Linked DNA regions of Rhinolophus ferrumequinum. The protein of the gene in region 1 interacts with the protein of each later gene in a biochemical or structural test. Links are inferred from orthologs where the notes say so. Each region holds a gene or a part of one and is shown on either strand. Other genes may lie near its edges.

What was found.
Region 2: the proteins of KLHL20 (region 1) and DAPK1 are reported together in a solved structure, tested with the Homo sapiens proteins (2 studies listed by BioGRID and IntAct, with this or other methods). The link is inferred for Rhinolophus ferrumequinum from reciprocal best matches to the Homo sapiens genes KLHL20 and DAPK1.

What each region holds. Positions count from the first base shown.
Region 1 is NC_046305.1:8,645,883-8,658,585, forward strand, and holds the start of KLHL20 (kelch-like protein 20), read left to right. Parts: upstream 1-7,334; 5' UTR 7,335-7,461; intron 7,462-8,383; 5' UTR 8,384-8,424; coding exon 8,425-8,447; intron 8,448-12,703. Other genes in the region: ANKRD45 (ankyrin repeat domain-containing protein 45), read right to left, coding at 6,172-6,261. UniProt on the Homo sapiens protein: Substrate-specific adapter of a BCR (BTB-CUL3-RBX1) E3 ubiquitin-protein ligase complex involved in interferon response and anterograde Golgi to endosome transport.
Region 2 is NC_046295.1:49,634,317-49,646,744, forward strand, and holds the start of DAPK1 (death-associated protein kinase 1), read left to right. Parts: upstream 1-6,546; 5' UTR 6,547-6,643; intron 6,644-6,679; exon of another isoform or gene 6,680-7,097; intron 7,098-7,944; 5' UTR 7,945-8,051; coding exon 8,052-8,113; intron 8,114-12,428. UniProt on the Homo sapiens protein: Calcium/calmodulin-dependent serine/threonine kinase involved in multiple cellular signaling pathways that trigger cell survival, apoptosis, and autophagy.

The DNA.
Region 1 (12,703 bases):
TATATATATATATATATATATAATTTCACATATTGTACATACTGTATTATATATTGCATAGTACTACTTCTATTATAATATATAGTATAAGTTTATGATATCTTGTTTTAATTATATATGTGTGTGTATATATATATATATATATATGTATATAACTTCTATTAACAGGGTGACCAAATGTTTTATTTCTCAGTCATAATGGATACTTTTATACTGGATACATTGCATATATGGGTATTTTTGTGTACATTTATGTATGTGTATGTGTTTGTGTGTATGTGTGTGTGTTTGTGTGTGTATAATTGAGCAAAATACTATTACTCTTTACTACATGTAACATACAGATGTTTTTATTTCAATTCTTTTAAGGCTGGGTGCCACCCACATAAATTGATCTCATGACCCATTAATGGGTCGGCACCCAGAGTGTCAAAAAACATTAGTCCTGAACCACTTGGGAAACTATACCAGGAAATCTACAAGAGTGACTCTAACAGAAATCAGACAGCATGTGTGACGGTTAATTGCTTGGGTGACACATGTCCCAATGTACCCAGCACAGTTCCAGTTACATGTGTTCTCTGGTGTCATTTTCAATAGCGTCGTCTTTCACTCTCAGAGGTACCCATTACTACTACACAATAAATTATTTTGTCGCCCTTTCAACAACACTGTGATCTTCTGGAACATTTCGGCTAAAGATATCCATATTCAAACCTTGGAGAATAGAACCAGGATGTGTTTGGAATGCCTTTCTTCCCTGGTCTAACAGGGGCCCAGGCACAAGACCTTGAAGACACTGAGAAAATCTTATTTGCATTTCATACGTACACCTGCAACTAGGCCCAGAATAGCTTTTTTCTCCTCCATTCCTACTAGCTAAAGGAAAGGCCAAGCTGTAAATCTACCTCCTTCCTAAAACTTTCCTTGACTCTTCTCTGAAATGCACTGGGGCCTTTCCCTCCTCCGAACTTCAAAGGCCATTATAGACAGTCTTTACCATACAACTTAGCAAGTATGGTATTACAGTATTTCCTATTTGTGTCAAGTATGTAAGTCACCTACTCAATTAGACTGTAAACTGGATAGGGGCAAGGATAAAGCCTTATGCTTCTCTTGTGCCACTTTCAGACTTACTACAATTCTTTATATATCATATGTGTTCAATCATTCTTAACGTCAGGCTTGAAATTCCCACTGCTTTTCTTCACAGCCAAGAGCAATGGGTTTTAGAGTCAGAAAGACTTGATTTCACAGTCTGACCCTGAAACTTCTTACCTTGTTTCCCCGAAAATAAGACCTAGCCAGACAATCAGCTCTAATGTGCCTTTTGGAGCAAACATAAGACCCGGTCTTATGTTATGTTAGGTAAGACCGGGTCTTACATTATACTAAAATAAGACTGGGTCTTATATTAATGTTTGCTCCAAAAGACGCATTAGAGCTGATTGTCCGGCTAGGTCTTATTTTCGGGGAAACATGGTAGTTGCATCATACTAGGCAATTTACCTATTCTTACATAAGAATAACATTAGAACCTGGTTTACATGACTGTTGAATCAAAAGAAATTAGAGGATGCATGTGCCAAGCACATGGTGAGCACTCAGTAAACAGAAGATGTCATCATCATTAAATAATCCCCAGCCCTCCAGTGAAAGCATCCATGAAGCAAAACAAAAGATGGTAATGCTATTATTTCTTCTTTAAGTACAGTTTTGCTGTATAGATTCTTGAGTAAATGATTTTCAACTCTGCCACCACCAAACACTTGATTATTCTGCATCTAGAGATCAATCTGATCCCAGGTAAATTCAAAGATTTGGAGATAAACTACATCAAATCCGGAAATATGATTCAGGCCAGAATACTCAAAGCTACCCTTGGAACATCTTTAAATGCAGCTTAATTTCCCTATCAGTCCAGAACTAACATGATTAGGGCAGCAGTTCTCAAATTCTTTGATCTCAGGGCTCTTTACAATGTTAAAAATTGAGAACCACTTCCCCCCACCCTGCCAATTTTTGTTTCTGTGGATTATTGTATTAATTTTTTACCATATCAGAAGTTAAAACTGAGAAATCTTTAAAATACTTATTAATTTACCTTAAAAACAATTACATGTTAACATAAAAATATAGCTTACGTAAAATAAGTGTATTTTACAAAAAATATTAACAAGAGGTGTGGCGTTATTTTACATTTTTGCAAATCTCTTTAATCGTCTGGCTTCATAAAGGACAGATGGATTTCCATATCCACTTCTGCATTCACTGTGATGACAGGTGATGTGAGACCATGTCATGTAGCCTCTGGAAAAACCACTGTAATACGTGAGAGTGAGAATGCAAAGGCAAATAATGCCTAAGAATCAATATGAAGATAGTTTGACTGGTAGACTCCCTGAAAATGTCTTAAGGATTCCCAGGGATTCCTCAGACCACACTTTGAGAACCACTTGACTAAAACTCACCCTCAAGCCACCCCGATCTATTGTCAAACCCTCAAGACTGTTCCAGTCCAAATCTGACCTAAACTGAAATCAGCCTTTCTGAAAGAAAAGGACAAACTGAAGTCTTCCGGGATATTTATCCTTAGACCTGACGTTTAAAAGAAAATAACTAGGAGAATAAAAGTAAACTCTCCTGTCATGTGTTTGGCAGTTTATTGCTGATGGTGTCCTTTATCATATTCTGTCACTGGAAGACAGAGCATGTGGGGTTTGTTTTTCCTTCTTACCGTGTTTCCCTGAAAATAAGACCTAGCCGGCCATCAGCTCTAATGTGTCTTTTGGATCAAAAATTAATATAAGACCCGGTCTTATTTTATTATAAGACCAGGTCTTTAATATAATAATATAATATATAATAAATATAATAATATAATACGAGGTCTTATATTAATTTGTGCTCCAAAAGACGCATTAGAGCTGATGGTCCAGCTAGGTCTTATTTTCGGGGAAATACGGTATAATACAGAAGCTTTAAGATATTTTCAAGTATGTTTACTGCGAATATAAGTAGTAATAGGATGATCACAATATAGCCTTTCCTTTGTTCCTTTTATCAATATTCTATATATTTAAAAAATTTAACTTTCTCACTAATATTTTTGTTTTAAATATATGTTTTGTTATAAAGTGAACTCTTTGGAGGCTGCTGAGGCACTAATAACAGAAAATCAGACAGGTCCTGGTCCCCACCCCACTGGCCGTTAAGAGTCCAGTGGGGAGACACAAGTAAATCATCAGTGGCAGCGTGAGATATAGGATATAAGGGAGATCAGCAAAGGGCGCTTTGAGAGTAAAGAACAAAGAAAAGTGGGGAGGTCCCGGAAAGCCTTCCCAGTAGAGGTGGCACTTCAGTATTGAAGAGTAGGGGCCTTAAAAGAACGGGGGGAAAAGACAATCCAGGTAGGAGTAGCATAAACAAAGGGCAAGGAAGCAGACAAGGCAGCATGAGGCTGTGGTAGAGGAATTGGTGTTAGGGATCTAATTTTTAAGCCAAGTTTTAAAAATGCAGTCCCTTGAGGATTTCACGTCCCAGCTCAAGGACAAGTTCCCCAAGGGCTGCCCTGGGCACCAGGATTAAACAAAGGGAAGGTCTGAGAAAGAAGATACTGAGTGGCAGCCCTGCCTTGCGACCCATGAGGTCTGGCGGAGGGGGTACCGGCCACTTCTGGGCAGCGGAGTTTGCCTTTGGACCTGAATCCCGCAGGGACCTCCCGGGATTCGCCGTCCTCCCCAAACCCCCCAGCCCAAGGCTGCCCGCGAGACAAGTCCCGCTGCTCAAAGCTCAGAGCAGAGACAAAGACTCCTCCCCTCCAGCACCTGCCCGGGAGAAGGCCATTGCCCCCACGGCCACCACGGCCCTCGGCGCGGGTACCCTGCACTCACCGATCTCCTGGCCCCGGGGCTTCCGCGGTTACCATGGTGACGGCGCACCCGGCGTGCCGTAGCACCACCCCAACGCCGTGGTTCCGGCTGCGCGCGCAGGTAAAATTTGCAAGGTGCGGGGAGAGGGAGGGGCCCGATGGAGATGGATGATTCAAGTCGGAGTGACTTCAATCGTTGTGTTCGGACGGTGGCCTGCCGGGTATTTTCTTTATTTTGTAAGTTTTATGAAATGTGGTCTATATTTATTTTACATTTTAAAAAATAAAATTTGAAAATAAGAAGTGCACATTGATTGCCGGCCTGTCCTAGTATTATCTTTGGCCTTTAAATAGAAGAATTTTCCAGAAATATGAGGATGCATTCTGAAAACTATGAAAGATCGTAATTATAACGCGCAGCTCACTTAATTTTTTAAGTATTGGAGATCTTTCTCTTATGGTTTATGGTCATTGTCACCAACAAGTAGCGTTTCCTGAGACCTCACAAAGTGCCAACTGTGGCAGGAGTGGAAGGAACTTGGAAACTATCTTCTGATTCAGGAATTTCAGGTCCAAAACAGACGACTTTTAAAAAGGGGTAGGGGGGAGGGCGGCACCGGGTATCAAAAGAAACCAGCAGAGGGTTGGCCAGGTGGCTCAGGTGGTTAGAGCTCCGTGACCCTAACTCCGAAGGCTGACGGTTGGATTCCCACATGGGCCAGTGGGCTCTCAACCACAAGGTTGCCGGTTCAGTTCCTCAAGTCCCACAAGGGATGGTGGGCAGCGCCCCCTGCAACTAAAGATTGAACATGGCACCTTGAGCTGAGCTGCCACTGAGCTCCCAGATGACTCAGTTGGTTGGAGCACGTCCTCTCAACCACAAGGTTGCCAGTTGGACTCCCTCAAGAGGTGGTGGGCTGTGCCCCCTGCAACTAGCAACAGCAACTGGACCTGGAGCTGAGCTGCGCCCTCCACAACTAAGACTGAAAGGACAACAACTTGAAGCTGATCTACGATTGAAAGGACAACAACTTGACTGGGGAAAAAAAAAAAAAAAGTCCTGGAAGTACACACTATTCCCCAATAAAGTCCTGTTTAAAAAATAAAAAGAAAAGAAACCAGCAGAGAAGCGTCAAGCTTACCCAGAAATTATATAAATGTTCACACAGAGCAGAGTGAAGACAGGGACATTTTTCTACTGAAGACAAAGGGTGAAGGAAAATATTCATTTCTTTACTATTTCTATGCGAAAATCATTAGGGAGGATATCATATTTTAGAGAAGCTCAGAACATTTGAGCTGAAAGTTGAGTAGCTTGGCTTGAAAATGAACATTTTGATAACGTTCTTTTTTTCACAAGGATTATGCAGCTGTAAAAAAAAAATGAGGAAGGTCTCTAAATACTTAACGTCTCCATTGCAATCCATAAGCTCAGTTCTGTATAGGAGTCTCCTACCTTCAATCTAGTTTGTGGAGGAGAGCCATTACTGAACTTATTAGCGATTCTGGGTACCCCTCTCACCAGCACCTGCCTTATTACTTTGTTAAATGATGTATCCTCTGGTCCCTCCCATGGAATGTAATTGCCTGGTGGGTTTTCCAGGCTTACACAGTATATTCACTCTAGCTTGCTCACGTTTTTGAAACTTTTAATCCCTAGTTCCACTGCCTTCCTTGGCAATCCTGGCATCTTTACCTCATTTAGTATGGGCCATTACTCTCCATGCTTATGAGGCCATTTTTTCCGGCATATTTGCACCATCTCCTGAGATCCTTGTGAAGTTGTTAAATCCTGTATCCCAGGGGAAAGCTTCCAAATTAATTAAGTCTCCCTTACTCAACTTTGTATTGTCTCCATTGATCCAGCACTCTAAGAATTCAGTCCCATGTGTACTCAGCCAGATGTCCCCATACCATATGTGAAATTCCCACTCTTTCCCAACTAGCACCCTGTCCTTGGCATAGCAGACATGCCAATATTGAGAGTTTACTCTTCTTCGAGGTTCTCCTACTCTTATGATTAAGTCTTGGACCTGCTCCTCAGATTTTCCTGCTCTCTAGTGGCAGAAGATGTATTCATTATCTAGACAATCCTTTGACGTTGATGCTTAGTTTTTAATAGACAATTTATCACTGCATTTCATTAGATAGTATCAAATGAGCTTAGCCACAGCCCACACATATTTCTTCTAAATATCTTTAACACCTAATATATTGCACCTACTAGAGTGTTTCCTTCCACCAGAATATACAGTTTGCTAATAGTTTCATCAGTGGCACTAGATTGTGTCAGGGACTACCTGTACTCCCTCTTGCACCAGTGATGACATCCTCTTTTCTAGCCTGGCAGCAGATGATCCACACCAAAAATCCCATCTAAGTGACTGCATCTTGAACCACTCCTGTCATTCCTGGACTCCCCAGGAAGCATATTCTGAGACAGAGTTTAGCAGGCAGGAAATTTATTAAGGGATGCTCTTGAGATCAACACCTGGAAAGAAAGGTAAGGAAACAAAGCAGAGGGGAAAGTTGGGCTGCAAGGTAGTCTCAACAAACGCCTATGCAGACCGTCTGGGGAGCTCTGAAGTTTGGATGGCCCTTTAGAACTGTCCCAATATGGGGCAACGAAACCGTGCCTTTGTACCCCAGCATGAATGAGTCACTGGTTGCAAGGAACCCCAGGAAAGGAGTGAGGCTGTGGGCAGGCAACTTCTTCCACAAAGGTGCTTCCCAGAAGGCTAACAGATAAGATCTCTCAGTCAACAGCACTTCTACTGGCTGAGGGATTATGTCCTTCATTCTTTACATATGATTATGTCCTTCATTCTTTACGGATGTCTGGGTGATGTACCATGTTTCCCCGAAAATAAGACCTAGCCGGACCATCAGCTCTAATGCATCCTTTGGAGCAAAAATTAATATAAGACCCGGTCTTATTTCGGGTATAATATAATATAATACCAGGTCTTATATATGACCGGGTCTTATATTAATTTTTGTTCCAAAAGATGCATTAGAGCTGATGGTCCGGCTAGGTCTTATTTGCGGGGAAACAGGGTAATAGAAGGACCCCATGTATGCATGCATCAATCATTCTATCCACAATTAGGGACAAGACTGTGCCAACAGGAGACTCACCTGCTACAAATAACCCCAAATTCCTAGCTTTCCGTGACTACTCCCATCTTTCTGTTGCCTTCTCCTGTGGGGAAAAAAGGGGAAAGGAGGAGGCTTCAGTATTCAAATACTGCCATTCAGCGAGGAACTCGCCAAGTGGTCACCCTTTGGGAATACAAGAAAGCGGACTGGAAGATGCGCGGTGCTTGCGGTTAGCTGAACCCCCAGCAAAGAGAGCTGCTACTTCCTGAGCCGCCCCGGAACCTCTTGGCGGAGTCAGTGTGTTCCAGGGGAGAACGATTTAGGATCAGAACCACTTCCTGCTGCTGAACAGGGGCGAGGGACAGGGAGGAAATAGCTCGAGGAGCTGCATCCTGCTTGCGCTTGCGGCCGCAGAGGAGGAGGCAGAGAGGGGGCGGCGGGCGGAGGAGGTAGGGGAGGCTGTGGCCGAGGGAAAGAAAGTGCCAGAGCCGGTAAGTTAGCCTCCTGCGAGCAGCGACACTGGACAGCGCCCCGACCTGGCTGTGCACATCTGCAGCCCCAAATTGCTGAACCGCGGGGTGGGGTGAGGGCCGTGCTGCGCCCGCCGCCTGTCAGTCGAGTAGGGGCAGTTGGGGCGCTGGGGCCGGGCCTCGGGGGTACCAAGCAGACGGCGATCGAGCTGGCTGACAGGCCTACCCCCGAGCCAGGAAAAGCGCAGGGCTGTCCTGTGTGGGGGCTTTGGGCTTCCTCGGACAGCTTCCCCAGACAGGGCTTGGAACTCGGGGGAAGGAAGTGGGCACTGTGCGTGCCATTTCACCCTGGGGACCTAGCGCGATGCTGCCCAGTGGGTGGTGGACGTCGTTTCGGGGACTGAGGAAAGGGCTTGTAGAGAGAATCTTAAATCGTGGAACCGTAGTGTTTCTGTATTGTTCAAGCTGCCCGCGCTGTGGGAAGTGGAGATGTTTGTCTTTAAAGGCAAATGCCCCCCTCCGACTTCTGTCACCCGCTCAAGTTACTTGCAGGTGCGTTGTCAAACCAGCGTGTTCCCTTTTCCATCTGTCGTGTTAGTACAGCTGTGGGTGTCTGGTGAGAGCTTTGTAGGTACACTTGATGGTGAGGCCGAAGTTAAATGTCTCCAAGCACTTTTTGAGGAGAGATGACACGAACCTAGCAATCGGGACTATTACAAGAGCACTTTGTCTCACCTTCACTTACAACCGTCTTAGCATTCAGAGTAAAGATAGTTATCTTCTTACAGGTACTAGGTAAAGGTTATGATTGTTTGTCTGCAAAACGCCTGTGATACAATAGAATATAAAATTGTTTATCACTGAACGAAATGATTATATAGAGATGGTTACTGGAAAGATCAGAAATCGTTTTTATTAAGTTACTGCTTTTCTGTTGTCTTAGGTTCGGCTTTAGAGTGTGGTGAAGGGTACTTTCCATGGTGCATGGAAGGAAAGCCAATGCGCAGGTAGGCGTTTAGCAAGAAAACCTTCGGTTTCACGGATTGAAATTCAGCACGTGATAATTCAAGGCTACATGTGAATTTTTTAAAAAAATGTTTACAAATCTTTCAAACTTCTACTCGGAACTAATGACTCTTGTTCTAAAATAAGTCAAAAGTAAAAGGAATTGGTTTTTTAATAGAGTAAAATACAGAATTTAAATTTCTAAAGAGCACTATGAATTTTATGTAGATAACATTTAAATTTTCCTTTCTGCGTGGTAATTTTTTGTGATAATCGTTAAGTGTACTATGGTACTGTATGGGTTTATTATAGTCTTCAGTTCCCCATAGAATGTACAGGACTCTGTTGCCGTATAAGAATTATTATTTATAATACACTGCACTCAATGTCTAATTATGGTTTTGGTTATTTCATTGATGTTTGGTAATACATTTGTTCTGTTAGTTAAAATAGCTGCATTGTAGAGATGGTTGAGGAGTAAAAAAGGTATTGGACATAACAACTTAGTCCATAGAAAAGTGTGGGAAAATATAGACAATTATAGGCCCTCCCCACCCTAGAATTTAGTTTTGCATTTTCTCAATCTGTTCTAACAAATAGGATCTTTACTGAAACAAAAATCAGCCCAGTTCTAGTTCTTATTTTTTAAAATCATTTTACATTTATTGAACTACATTTAATCATTTGTTATTTAACATCAAAGATAAAGAGCTGTGGCAAACCCTTTTAAGAAAAGAAATATTTCATGATGGGGATATGACTTAGAACCAGGAGCAAGAACCAAAATACATAGCTTTTTCAAAATCTGTTATTGATTTTTCTACTGATCTTGAGCTATTCACCTTCTCTTTGACCCAGTGTTTTTCTCTATTGTATCTGACCAAGATATTGGGAATTAATGAAAGCTTGCAAATGCTTTGAGATCTCCAGATGAAAAGATGTTATGGATGTAACAAATGCCATTATCTTATTTATATCTTACTCTATAGAAAAATAGTGTTTAACTGAAAGTACATGAAATTAACTACACATATAGTAATACTCCATCACTTCAACTTTTAACATCACTGCAGAAGCCACTGATTGCTTCTCATCCCCAGCTGCCATAAATGTTGTATTTTATGTAATTGCTAAAATGAGAGCTCATTATTTTTTAAAAAGAGAAGGAAGGCACAGCATGGAGATGTTTTTATCGGTAATTTCTGTATAAAATATTCAACTTAATTACTCATACTTTTTTTTTTTGCTTTATTATATAACACTGCCAGTTATTCAAAATCATGTTGGAGAATTCTAATGCCATTAATTAAGTTACGACTCTTTCTTCATCACCATCATTTGGCCAAAGCCTGGCCTACCCATTGCTGTCTGGTTTTACTTTTACCTGATGCCTACATTAAGTCATAGTCACACTTCCAAAGGGCATTTCCTTGTTGGGTTGCCTTTTTTTTTTTAAAAGATTTTATTGGGGAAGGGGAACAGGACTTTATTGGGGAACAGTGTGTACTTCCAGGCCTTTTTTCCAAGTCAAGTCGTTGTCCTTTCAGTCTTAGTTGTGGAGGGCGCAGCTCAGCTCCAGGTCTAGTTGCCATTTCTAGTTGCAGGGAGCACAGCCCACCATCCCTTGCAGGAGTCAAGGAATCGAACTGGCAACCTTGTGGTTGAGAGCCCGTGCTCCAACCAACTGAGCCATCTGGGAGCTCAGCGGCAGCTCAGCAGCAGCTCACCTCAAGGTGCCCTGTTCGATCTTAGTTGCAGGGGGCGGAGCCCACCATCCCTTGTGGGACTAGAGGAGATGAACCGGCAACCTTGTGGTTGAGAGCCCACTGGGCCATGTGGGAATCGAACCAGCAGCCTTCAGAGTTAGGAGCATGGAGCTCTAACCTCATGAGCCACCGAGCCGGCCCTGGGTTGCCTTTCTTGCTGCAACCCAGAAGGCAGTCTCTGGGAAGTAGAGTTTATACTTAGCTGCTATTGGAGAAGCTTTGAATGAGAAGTAACTCTTTATATTGAAATTATTTGAATACATATTCATTCTCCCTACCAGAGTATGAGCTCTTTGAGTCTCCTATGTCTTCTGTATCCTTGTATGCCTGGAAACTAATGATCACTGAATAAGTGTTTGAATGACTGAATGCTTATCTGCAGACATTTCCCCTGGAGCTGGGACTGTGAACAAGAAAATTATTGTTAAAGGGATTCTAATGCTTAATTATAAAATTTTGTGAAATTGATTGGCATTTTATTAGTAAAGCTTCATTGCATTCATTTAAGTAGCTATTATGTGGAGGGGTACATGATACAACATTTAAAAAGGAAAAAATAGAATATTCAATGAAAAGTAAGTCTCCCAATGGTGACCCCAGCTCTCAATTTTCCTCTCCAGAGAAAACCACTGTAAACAGTTTCTTATGCACTCTTTCACAGACATTGTAATGCATATACAAGCATTTACAGAATACCTCCTCTTTTTAAAAAAAAACTGTCAGCATACGAATTGCACATTCTTCTGTAACCTTTTTTCACTTCAGAAATTATTTTGTACTTTGTGACAAATACATAGAAACCTACCTTATTCATTTTAATAGTTTTAAAACTTTTAAAAGTTTTCTTTAAAACTTTTTATATAGTTTTCCCTTATCTGTAGGTATCATAGTTAACCATTCCATTTGAGAGACAAATTATTTCAAATGTTTTGCTGTTACAAACAGTTCTGCAACGAATATCCTTCTAACTGGTTTTTGCCCAAATGTGTAAGTATAGAATAAATTCTTAGATGTAAAAATTTTGGTAGATATTGACTAATTCCCCTCCATAGAGATAATACCAATCTACAGTCTCACCAACAATGTGCCTGTTTCCCAAGAGATTATTTTTTAATTATTTCATTTACAGACACTAAAACATTTTGCAATGTAATTCTTCCATCTTTCCTTAAATATATAAATAGAAAGCTGAGCCCAACCTTATTAGGAATTGTCTTATTCACTCACCAAACATTTATATAGTACTTGTTCTATGCCTATGTACTGCTTATATACAGATGAAATGATGGAAAGACACGTAAACAGACAACATAATACACCAGGAACAGGATTTTTATAGAGCTGTAAACACAGAGGAGGGAACCTCTTCTCTGTGGAGATGAGAGCTTCACAGAGATGGTGATATTTGAGCTGGACCTTCTAGAAAGGATAAGAATTTGGTCTTATCTTTAATGGTGGGTTGTTGTTTTTTAAAGCTTGATTGTACCACTGTTGAACCGTGTCTTTATTCTTTCAGCATCTACTACGTACAAGGCACCATTAAGCATGGTGGTTAAAAGCCTTCTGAATTGTTAAATTGTGAAAAGCCTTCTTAAATGTGGGTGGAAAAAACACACCTTTAACTGCTCGGCTTTATATTTCAGTCTTTCGATTCTCAAGCATAAACAGTGCTGTTTGCCGCACGTCAGGAATTATGGACAGTTTGTACTCTAGAATACACAATCACTTGTGGGCTGAGGCCCAGCACAGAAAGATTGCATTGATGAGTACTTTGGAAAAACAGCTTGCTGTTGGAGAAAGAAAGGACCATGTTCTTGGTTTTCAAGTTATGCCTTTGTAATGCAAATACATAGTTATTTACTGTATTGCCTCACAAGCCACACAGTTGATTTAGGAACAACTTTTTAGAAATGTGAATGTTGCATTAAAGACATGCAAAGCTTTTACTAACTGGCGGTATAGCACATATTTAGCCATATAATTGATACCTCAGTTTTCAACATCACAAAGCTGTATTTTGAGCTTTTCTCTCTTTCACCGACTAAAGAATCCTCTGACTCTGGGTGATGAGCACACCATGTAATCTCTAGATGATGTATTACAGAAATGTACACTTGACACCTATATAATTTTACTAACCATTGTCACCCCAATACATTTAATAAAAATTTTAAAAAAAGAATCCTCCGAATTACGTCTGGCCCTCAGCCATTATCCATAGCATCCCAGTGACACTATTTTTTGTCACCTGTGCATGTGATTTTTCCTTTTTTCTTAGTTTTGTTTTTTACTTCTGTAGAACTATTACGATGGACTGTATAAACTATGAAAAATATGCATCTTAGAATATAGGAAATACAGTACTCCATATAAAGTTCATTTTTGGACCCTGGCATATTTCCTTTTGATCTTTTCATGCAACATGAGCAATATTTTATATATTTTGTCCTGAACCTTAGAGGAGCAGTTTACAAAATTAATGAGGGAATCAG
Region 2 (12,428 bases), on another chromosome or scaffold:
TAATCTGGATTCCTAAGATGTCATGAACCCAATATAGTGTTCTTGAGTGGTATTTTCTCAGAAATTTTCATCATCTCAAAATTTTTTAAAATTAAGGGAAAATTTCAGGAAATACTTAAATAATAAATAATACTTAAATAATAAATGAAATTATGCCAATTATCCTCATACAATTTTCTTAAAAGAGTATATTTGGACTGACTGAGTTTAAATATGCAGAAAACACCAACTTTTATTGGTGTGTAAATTTATGAGAAAACAGCAGTGAAAGAGTCAAAGATTATTGCTGCTTTTGCAAATCTTTAAACTGACAAAGGCTTCTGGAAGAATTTATGACAAGTTTATCTTTTCTGAAAAGCAATGTTTCTATAAATCCTACCAAACTGCTATGAATAAGGCTGTAAATCACTTCATTGGCTTGAGTAATGGAACTTGTATTTCATGAAACCATGCCAAGAAACCTAGACACTTTCACTGAGAAGACGCATTGACATTGAGTCTTCTGTAATATTTAATACCTATCTTTCCCCAAAAAAAGATGAATTTTGATATTGATTGAAAATATTTTTACCATGAATTTACTGAAAAGAAAATAAATAGAAATCTATGGCATTAAGTCTGATGGTTTTAAAGAGGTTCATTAGTCACCAGCAGAGAAAAATAAGTTAGAAGCAACAGAAAATAAATATAACTTCATTCACTAAATCAGTGTGTCCATAAGTTCAGATTTTATCTGTAATTAAAATTTGTACATCCAGTTCTAATGGATGAATAATGTTCAGTGCTTCTTTCTGGATGACTTTTTTTCAGTCTTGCTTTAAGTTTGTTTGACAGAACAGAAACTCCTTTGAATGTTTCACTTTTCTCTTTCCCATTATATCCATATATTCTCATAGAGAAACATAGAATCTGGTAGCTAACTGCACTTAACATTCAATAGCGGGGAACTCCTGCGGGGACAGAAGGGTACATGTTACATATGTATATACTAGTGAAATGAGTGACATGTTCAGTGCTTGGAGGCAGCTCTGTGTACCTTTAGTTAGAAGACTGACTGACATTCTGGGCCTTGAGTTGTATAAGTGCTGTTCAGTATTACTCATTTTTTGTTTCAGGTGGTGTCAGAACCTAAAAGAAATTGAGCCAAGCACAAAAGAAATAGGCTAAGGGCAAAAGTAAACCGGTAACCCCAGAGGTTCATAATCTCCTCAGGCCTTTCAAACACTGGTCAGTGATGTGTATGTGTTTATTTACACCCCTCTTGTTTTTTACAAAGGATTTAATGACAGTTAAAGATGTATTCACTACCACAAGACACAATAAATGAAAATTGGAAAGAAACTGAGTCAGAGGGACAGTAGGGGTAGAGAAGTGGCGAGCTCCATGCCATGGGGTCTTGAACAGGGGGTCACAAACTCCTAGTTCAGAGGACCAGGTAGATAATGTGAAGTCCTCATCTTTACACCCATGCACTACAAAAAGACTATGTTTGTGGAGCAATGGTGGGAAAAAGGGTCAGAGAGGTGCTTCAACTAACTCACAGCTCAGCAAGATGTACTATGCTTTTGCTATTTTGTTTGTGAACATTAAATTCTGCTGTTGAAAACAAGAAAATTAATGGGATGGATTAAACTCACTAGATGTGTGTGGGGACAGAGCCCCAGAAAGCAGTTTCCAGGCTCTCGGCCTCACATAGAAAGGTGCTCACCATGTCCTGCGTTCTTATGTGGAGAGCGGGACCAGAGACCCCGTAGGCCGCCCCACACGACAATGTGTTAAGCATAGATAAGGAAGTTAGTAACCTATTAGGTCAAGAAGAAAACAAATATTCGCAATGTTAATATATATACAGGAAGCATTAATTCACCACCCATTGGTGGTGCCTATTTCGGTTCTGAGAAATACAAGTAAAACCCATAGCTGCTAATGAGACTAATTGGCATTCTATAGCCATTGGCCAGGCACATCTGTCCCTCTGTATTTGCTTCAGGTAATATGCTTCTGTTCCCAAGAGTTCTGCCCCGAGTGCTCTTCTTTTTATTTGGTCCTGCATCCTCTTCCCCAGTGACCTCATCTTTCACGTTCAAAGGTACCCTGGTGTACATCGGAATCACCCCTGTCTAGCCCATAGGTACTGGTCTCCACTTGGACATCATGTGGATGCCCCACGGGCACCTCAAATTTCATATCTCCACGACATCTTCTCTTCTCCCAAACAGCCTGTCAACCCATATTTCAGCCTCCATGGAAAGCATTATCTACTTAATCATTCAACCAAAATTGTTGATATCACCCCGACTCTATCCTTTTCCTCAAGTATCAAGTCCTAAGATTTCTACTTCCATAAAATATCTTGTTTTTCTCTACCCATCATCTCCAAGGATGTGACAAATTAGAACTAATCAACCTTGGCTATCAAAGACTCTTCAGAGCAAAGACACACGTACTGAACATGATGGACAAGGACGTAAAGATCTACCTTGGTTTATCTCTCCACTCTTATCCAAGTCCCGCTCTCTATTTTGACTTCTTGTCATTTCCCTGTGTGAACTCTGACTACTGACAGATGGCTGAACGAGCAGTTATCTTTCTCACATCTGTGATGTAGCCTCATTGTTTTCCTGTCTACGTTCTCTCCTCTCTCAACCTTCCCATGCCATCATTCAACTTTTTTTTTTCCTGCTAACTCTTAATCTTCTTTCATGTTTTTTTTTTTTTCACTAGGATGTCAGCTCCTCTAGGAAACTTTCCTGAAACCTCAGGCTCACCCCTGTCATCACCCTCCATCCCTGGCCTTTATCTGAATTTAGTGCCCTCCCTTTGTGTTTCCATGACAGTCTGAGGTCCCTCTCTCATCACACTGCCAATCAGGGTCCCAGAGGAAAGAGATGGCACACTCAAATGAGGATGATTCAAAGAGGTGTGAGAGAGGTGCACGGGAACCATAGGGATGGGACAGGAACTCTAGGTTAGTAACAGCAGACCTGGCCCCAAATCTAGGTCCAAAGAGACAAAGAGAGAGAGTGTGGTTACTAAGGCCTGGACAGAGAAAATCAAGTAGAAGAGGTTACCTGGTGAGGAGCAATGACCTTTGTTTGACAGTGACCCAGGCAACCTTGCAGAGAGAAAAGCAGAAGACTATTTTGGCCTCATTCTCCTCCCTTCTGCTTGACCTCATGCCAAAATTCCCCACTGGTCAAATGGACCAGGAGCCCGAGGACAAGGATATTAGTTAAAATAATCTTATAGCTCAGCCTATCGACTTGTAAGTATGGAGAAGAGTAGAGAATGAATCTAGAGAAGCAAATGGATTATATCTGGCACAATCACGCTTTAATGGAATTGGCTCTTTGTTCATCAGTCTCCCTCATTAGACTGAGTTACTTGAGGAAAGAGAATGTTTCTTTTATCTCTACATCCTTAGCATCTAATATGTACTAGATAATCAATGCTTATTGATTGACTCAGAGAGCATGGTGAATTGGACATTACTTGGAGGACTGTACTTTCTGAGCTTGCCATGTGCTTTCTGGAATCCAGGATGGAACGGAGAGCAGAGTGAGCTCTGTAACTTTCATCAAAAAAACAACACATCAGTTGGCCAGGAGAGGTGAATTCTCTTAGCACTCAGGGCTGGGAGGAACTGGAATTAGTCATGTGACTGCCTATACAAGGGGCACTCAATTGCATAATGGGCAATAGCTTCAACAGGAACATCACGGGTGCAGAAACACTCTTCATGAAGCCATTTAAAAATATTAGCCCTTAATAAAAGCCATGGGCGTGTTATTAAAAAGTAACCCAAAGGTGAATTGAGCTAATGAGGTCCACTTTGATTGATCTTAGAAAAACCTTGTCCAAAAAAATGATTAAGCCTTAGGCTTCAAACCCGACCCCTAAACAAATCTGCAGTGCTGTCCTCTTTGGATTATCTCTTCACTCATCAATCAATAGATTAAAAGGACCCACTGAGAAACTCAGATGGACTGAGGGACCATGGATCCATTAGAGGGCCAAAACCTGGGTCCCTGAATGTGGAATGGAGCCTCCTCATCCACCCCTGGCTAACAACTGTGTTGAGAACAAGAAATAAACCTTTAACGTGTCAAACCTCTGAGATTTGTTGGGTCTTATAGCAGTAGGTATCTTACCCTAACGACAGATATAGAATAATGTTCTAAATTCTATATCTGAGTCTGTTTTCAATGCTATCATCATGAGTATCATAATCTATTGTCCCCATTGTAATCAGTTATTTTCATGGAAGTCCTTTCCGGCTTCAATCTCATCAGTTCAGGATTATTGTATTGTTGTCTTCTACTTGAAAGACCTTCTTGCTTGGTTCATGATAGAAAACACAATACCAACATTCTGTGTATTTTATCTCTTTAGATTCTTCCAACAACTCTGAGGAATACGCAAGTGCCTATTATTGTCCCTGTTTTGCAGGTGATGAAACTGAGACCAAGAAGGTTAAGTATAAAGTGGAAAAAATAATTAATTTACAGTTATCTGAGGATGAAGCAAGAGAATAATTAGTTGGCCTGGAACCTGGCGCACGTTACAAGTTTTCTTATTTTCTTTGTAACTTTCTTATAAGTTATCTGTTGCTGTATAACAAACCACCCCAAAATAATGACTTAAAACAGTAGCAATAATTTGTTCTGCTTACAGAACCTGAACTGTAAAGACACAGGTAGCTGAGGTTGGGGGTAGGGCTGGAAAAGCTGGCTTCCTTGAACTTCTCTCTTTCTGTGGTCTCTCCACGTGGCAGCCCCAGGGTAACCATGGCAGCTGAAGGCTTACAGAGTGAGTGGAGAACGCCAGAGAGGGTGCATGCAAGAAAGACAAACAGTCAGACAGACAGGCAGACAGGCAGAAGCTCTAACACCTTAAGTCCTAGCCTTGGAAGGACATTATACTGTGTCACTTCCACCACATTTTCTTAGAAGCAAGCTACTATGGCCAACTCTTATTCATGGGGAGGAGAACTAGACTCCACTTCTTGATTGAATTTTGGAGCATGTTTTTCAACTACTACACTTTCCTTCTCTGAAATGCTTGCCTAAATTAGTGCTCATGAAGCTTAACGGTAAGTGAAATGACACATCAAAAGTCACTCAGCTGTTAAATGGTTCCACCAATATTAGATCTAATTTTGTGACTCCTGAGTCCGTGCTATTTTTTACTACCCCAGAAAAATCTCCTGTGATCAGCAGGTGGAATAGGGTAGGGAAAACATGCTAGTGCTGAAATGGAGCCAATCCTTTTCATTGCCTTAGAAAACACACTTACATTTATTTTTCAGGAAAAATATTGCCCATAATACAGTCGTCCATAAGCACTTTCCAAGTTTCTCCCAAACATCTGTGTTTTAATTTCTCCCCCAACAGATGTATCCATTTGCATTTCCCCCAGATAAATCACTTTTGCTGTTGTTCTTATTTTTGACTGTATTTATCACCTTCCAAGATCCTTTTGTATTAATTCTCAAACCCACCACTTAGGTTCATGCCACCTGCCAATTTGGAACCTTCCCTTCATTCCATCACCATGAAAGTGTGCCCTTCCTGTGGGCCAATAAGTGAAATGCTCTCTAAGTGGAGGGTGTGACAAAAAGTCTGAGGGGACTTTTTTTTTCTTTTCAAGAAGACAAAATCTCTAAGGTTGAAAATTTCTATTGAATCAAAGAGAGTCTAAATCATTCCATTTTAGAAAATCTGGGAATTTGAACAATGCTGTGGATCGGAAATCTCAGAGGTCTCATATATCAGTTTTGTAATTCTAGGCAGTAAGGTAGATTTCCCTACAGAAGCTTTACTCTGGGGATCCCCAGAAGTCTCTACAGGGAACCCTCCTTTGTGCTTTCCACACCCAAAGACTTGGGGGAAACATGGGGCAAGAGGTAGAGAATGGATAAAGAGTTTCCACTAGATATGGGTTCTCTGTGTAGACTAGCTCGATCCACAGAAACAACACATTCGTACTGTTACATTCTCTAATAACCGCATTTCTAAAAGTAAAAGGTGAAATTAATTTTAATATTATTTTATTTCCCAATATATCTAAAATACTAATATTTGAACATGTAGTTAATGTAAAAAATTCACTAGCTATTTTTCATTCTTGTTTCCATATCAAGTCATGGAATCCGACGTGTATTTCACACTTAACTGCACACCGCATTTGGGTCTAGCCACATTTCAACTCATCGACAGCCAGTAATTTTTGGTGCAGCACACATATACCCTTGGTTTCTGTTGTTTGATTGGGTCTCTGAGACCTCAACCCTTTCTTCTCTACGTACTTCCTTCAAGTTCAGATACCAACTCAAAACACCTATCCTGGAAAGGAGCTCCATCTAATGCGGCCCAACCTCCGTCATTCTCTATGCCATTATCCTGTTTTATTGTCTCAATAGCACTAATATCTTCTAAAATAATTTTATTTGTTTATATCTTATCCATCAGAATGTAAGTTTCACAGGGTCAGGAATTTTTAAAAATCTATTTTGATCCGGCTGATTTCCCGGTGCAGAGGACAGTCCCAGGCACACTGCCGACGCTCAAATACTTTTGCAGGACTAAGGAATCGCATTTCTCTGGAACCCAGCCGAAGGGGGCAGCGTCGAGTCGTGTCACAGGTGGGGCGCCCACGTTGCGCGCGGCTGCGCTCGGTCTCCTAGCTGCGTGGGAGTGGGGTGAGTGGGTGTGTGCGGGATGTGTGCGGTAGAGCGCGCCAGCGAGCGCGGAGCGCTGAGCGGGGAGGATCAGCAAGCACCGCTCACAACCCGCAGCGACTGCCCGGCCGGGCAGCTCTGAGGTGGGTGGGCCGTGCCGCCTGCCTGCCCGCGGGGTCCCCATTGGTCGCCAGCAGGCCTCCCTCTGCCCGGAAGCCAGCGAGGAGCTGAGGGGCTGCTCCGAAGCCGGAGCAGGAGAGCCCGGCTGAGCTGACGCCGGGGCGGACGCGCGGGATCCGCGCCCCTGACTCGCTCCCTTCCGCACTCGCGCCGCCGCCCGGCTGGTCTCCGGCGCTGGCGCCTGCGGTCGGCCTTCGACAGCGCTCCGGAGGGACCCGGGCAGCTGCTGGGCGCCCGGGTGAGTGGCCGCGCGCGGCTCCCTGGCTTCTCCCGGGCCCCGCCGCCTGCTTTTGCTTTCCCGATCGCGGCTCGGCTGCGTTTGCGCCGGCAGCGCCTCGGGCCATCGGGAAGGCCAAAGCCGGGAAACTTGGCTGCGGGTAGAAGTGGGATTGCAGCCCGGATGCGCCCCCAGCCCCGCGGGCCGGGTGGGAACAGGTGGTGCGGGCCGGGCCGGGCGCTTTGTGTCAGGACTCGGAAACCAGCGGCAGGCGGCCGCGCCTCCCTCGGCCGCTCCCTTCCCTCTCCTGCTCTCCCGAGCGGCCGCAAGCCGGGTCGGCCGGGTAACGGAGCGGGAATCGCCAGGAATGTGCCTCTGGGGACTGTCTGGCTCGAGGGAGGAGAGAGGGTGGCCGCGAAGGTGCGGGAGCCGAAAGGTGGCGCGGGGCTGCACCGCCGCTTCAGGCTGGAGAGGGATGCTTCCAGCGTGGCGCGTTCCTCCCGGGCAAACGCTTCATTCTTGCGCGGCGCCCCTGGAGGTGGGGAGCTGGGTGGGAGTGTGTGCAGAAAAAGGGGGGCGGGGAGGCCAGTCACTTCCGGAGCCGGTTCTGATCGGTGCAGAGAGCGGTGCTTTGGCAGTCGCGGATCTTGGGGTGTGGTTGTGCACGGCCCCACATGCGCGCCGTCGATGCGGGGCTGGGGTTGTCCCTGGCCCGTGTTTAACAAAGGGTGCTCCTCTGCACCCGGCGGGAGGGGCAGCTCCGAAGAAGTGGTCTTAAGCGAACGGGTCTTAGTCCTGGGGAGGTCCATTTCCTTTTTGGATTGTAATTTTTTTTTTGTATTATTGCCTTTTTTTTTTTTTTTTAAAGACTGGAGACTGATGCATGAGGGGCCCACGGAGGCGCAGGAGCGGTGGTGATGGTTTGGGAAGCGGAGCTGAAGTGCGCTGGGCTTTGGTGAGGCGTGACAGTTTATCATGACCGTGTTCAGGCAGGAAAACGTGGATGATTACTACGACACCGGCGAGGAACTTGGAAGGTACAGGAGGCGCACACTATTGGGTTGTGGGAATGCATAATATTGGGGGTAGTGGGCAGTGAACAAATGCAGCTTGAATCAGGCGTCTCCCTCTTCCAGAAGATGTGCAAATTACAGAGAAGAGTACCACCCCAGCGAAGGCTAAAGACCAGAAATAAACCACCTACTCCAAGGGGTTGGGGGTGGAGAGACAATTTCAGTGTTAGATTATGATGCAAAGTATATTGATCAAAACCCCTGGACGAGAACAGATTGAACTGACTGCGGTAACTCTTGTCAGCTTTTGTCCTTCCGACGACACAATGAGCAAACGCTAAGATATAATTAGAGTTAGCTCTGATGTGTGATTTAAACAGAACACACACTAATGAATAGGCTTTTAAAATCTTCCTGCTTTCCCTCTTTCGGAATTTTCAGAGTAACATGCACAAATATTGGTAGGTCCTACGGTACATGGATACTTGCCAGACGTTGATGTTGGGCTTGGATTTTGAAACTTACTGGAATCAGGAATTTAATTAGCCAGTTGGTGTTAGTGGTGGCTTTGGTTTTATTCCCAATGTTAAATTTTTAACAAATCTACGAGAGTCTAATGGGCTATTTGCATTCAGAGCCTGTTCCATTGCTGGAGGAGCTGTGATTCTGAGTGTAAAGTCTTCCATGTTCTAGGTGAACTAAGAATGATTTATTTGGGGGCATCTACTAAGGGCTAGTTTGGTTTCTTCTGGACTGGGTATTTGACAGGGTGTGTTGAGCTCTGGTCTAACTAGCAGAAAACCCAGTTTTCACATCTAGATTTAAATTCAACATACGGAATTTTACTGCAGTGAGTAAAATAGGCAAAGGGATCTTTAAACAAACAAAAAAAGTATGTATTGACTTACACGTGTATCAAAATATGTATTTTTCCATATACACCTGATGTCCTGATACAAAGCTTCGTTTACTTCATGAAAAGGAAATTCACAAAGACACACACCCTAGATTACCTAATGAAAATTATGAAAGTTGAGCTTAGCTAAAATTTTTTATAAATTCAAGTAATAGTGTAGAATGCAAGCAATTTTTAAAAAGTTACTGTAAGAGCATATTTCTGTATATGTTTAGTATTGACTGACAACCTTACTGGCTTAGGAATTGCTTACTATATATTGGAGATTTACCAAATAAGAGAGTTCTCAAAAATCCTATTTTATAGATATGTTTAAGATTTAAGATTTAAGAGTATGCAGTTAAATATTTGGTTTAACTAGAGTTAAATCACTTTATCCCTATGGTATTCAGCCAGATGAGTGGTATATGAAGTTTTCCTTTGGAAATAGGGGGGCAAAGGTGAAAAAATGTATTTTAATTCTGTTTGCGTAGTATGACCTGATTATATAAATTCTCTTGTAAAGAGAGATGATTAAAATTGGGTGAGGTGATTGCTTTATAGATTAAGTATATTGACTTTATTTTCATTAAGATCTTTTGGTAGAGTTATGAGAAAGAAAAAAAATACGGCCGCCCTGTGGCTGGTGCAGGGAGTGGGGAGTTTGTGATCTTTATTTTGTGAGAAGGCTACCTCTGCCTTTGCACTAGGGGGTGGTTTGCAGATTTGTCCCAGCATTTCGCTTTGCTTTTGACTCTGTCTACATTTCTGTATATAACTTTCTCCCCACTGTGCAAGACTAATTGACAAATTGTTTCTTGAATAATTTATGTGACCTATGAATTTGAAAGAAGTGCTCTGAAAAACTGATAGTTGGGAATTTTTTAAATGAAAGTATACATGCCCATCTAGCTGCTATATCTTTTGGTTTTGCCTAAAAATGGCTTAAACAGTTGATTTTTTTGAAGTGGTTTTCAAGCCCTGTGATTTTTATGTCTGCCTTGGAAATAGCCACTTTCTGAAAACAAGTCCTGACATAAGATAGACAAATAGGAAGGGTGCTGCTTCATGTGTCACTGAGAGAAGATTGGCAGTGGAGGTGGGAGCTTAGTGGCGGAAAATGGAAATGGGCCAATATTTGACACAAAAGCAAGGTTGTTTGTTCTAAGCAGTGCGTTATACACAAGCTAACATCTAGGATTTACGACTTTATTTACATACTACATTTAGCAGTTATCTAAATAATACCTACTCACTTACCTTATAAATGTATTGAGACAAAAAGTCCACAGCTGGAGTAGGAAAGATAGGTTTTTAAACAAGTAGAATACAATATTATTGTTGTTATTGTTATTGTTATTTTCTAGGAAAACAGAGTATGTATGTAGGAGGATGAGTGTGTGTGTGTGTGTCTGTCTGTCTATGTATGTCAGTATGTGTCTGTACGACTGCCCAGGACTGCTGTGAAAGCTCTCTGTTAACTCTAAGGAACTTTATAAAATGTTATGATTATTGCAGTAGTGGTAGAGCAGTCAGATCACTGCACAGATATCCAAAATCAGCTCTGCAACTTGCTAGCTTTATAACCCTGAACAGGTCACTTACCCTCTCTGACCCTCAGGATCTTCATCTATAAAATGAGAGGCCTGGTGCTTATTTCATGACTGTTGTGAAAATCAAGTAACCTAACACATGTAAAACTATTTTATCAACAGTAAAGAGTTAAATAAATTTACAGATATCATCTGCAGGACTATGCTGAGACATGTGGGTGTTCCAGGCAGGCTAATAACTTGGCCGGCAACTCCGTAGTCTTTTTAAGTATCTGTTTACCAATTTTGAGAAGAGAGGCCCTGTGGGAAAAGGCTCATGGAGAGACCCCTTGCTGCCAACACTTGGCCTCTCCACTCTTACTCTGTGTAATGCCACTCTGGCCTCGAACCTGCACACCTTCCCAGTGGAAGCAAGTCCTTACAGTGAATGGACCATCATCTTTGGAAGGCTCTTTGGTGACCTTTTGTGTTGACTTAGGAGGACCTTTGGGGTCTCACCCTCTGTCCTAGGAGGTAGAATAGAGAGCTATTTCCATCACATGTAGTGGTCTCTGGGAATTCTTACAAATGCAGATCTCTCCATCTGCTGTTACACTTGGGTTGTTTTTTTTTAATGCCCTAGGGTGCCTTAGCATCTCTTATCAGTTGGCACTTGGGCAGCTGCAGGCTGGCTTGTCCAACCATCGGGCTCCAGTTACACCCTTGGCTGTGGTTCAGCCTAACCTGTGAGCCTTCTGGGCACCTCTCTGAACACCGCTTTCCTGAGGGCCTGGTCTTCTTCCCTTTTCTGCTGTCTGACCTTACATGATCTTGAGACCTGGCTCCCATCTCCTGAATAAATGCCTCCATGATGCTTTCTCCCTTTTAGGAGCCAAATGACTTGCTGTCTGAAGCACTCCGTTGGTCCATGACCACAGGCTGCCTAGTGCCATGCTCTAGCATTGCTTTGTGTTACTATCATCCTTGTATTGCTCTTTGTAGTCAGCTTGAAAATTCCTTCAGGTGGTCTTTTCTTCCCGAGGGTGTGCAGTATGCTGCATAATACCAGGCACAGTTTGATCGATGCCTGAATGACTGAATGCAGGTTAGCAGGTGCAATATTGAGACCAGAATGGGGAATTAAGATGCAAATGGTGATGCAGATGCTGACGCTGATAGAGAGGCAGTGTGTGGTGTGGTTTGGCCACAACACACTCATTTGGAAAGTGGGGAGACACCTATCTTTGCAGGATGTTGTGAGAATTAGAGACAGTGGATACAAACATCTGACACATAGTCACTGCCTAAGATTATTTTAATAACCTGTTTTTCCCATCACAGCATTTACCACATTGCGTAGTCGTTACTTATTTGATTATCTGCTTTCCCCCAAGTTGTCACAGGGCTGTGACCTTGAACTTGCTCATCATTTTTATCTCTAATGCCTAATAGATGCATGACACTTACAAGGTGCTCAATAAATGCTTGCTGATTCAATGAATGGATTAATATATGTAAAGCACACACACATACACACACATGTATATTATCTTACATGTGTGTATGGCTCTCAATAAATGATGACTCTGGTGGAGATGAACTTCGGACACGAAAGCCTGCAGCTCGTAAAACTAAAAGCTACTTTTGTTTTCACATTCTCTGTGGCTGAACAGTAATGTGCACAGTAGCCAAAATCTCCAAGCACAAGATCAGTTTAAACAAAATAAGGTGGAGCATTAAGTATTTCACATTGGTTTAGATCAGGGGTGTCCAAACTGCGGCCCACGGGCCAACTGCAGCCCGCGATCCATTGTTAATTGGCCCGCAGCAAATTCCAAAAATATATTTAGTTTACTTAAATAAACCAGGTGAGGCAAGACGTACTTCACCTCGAGTGAGTGGCCGGCTGTTT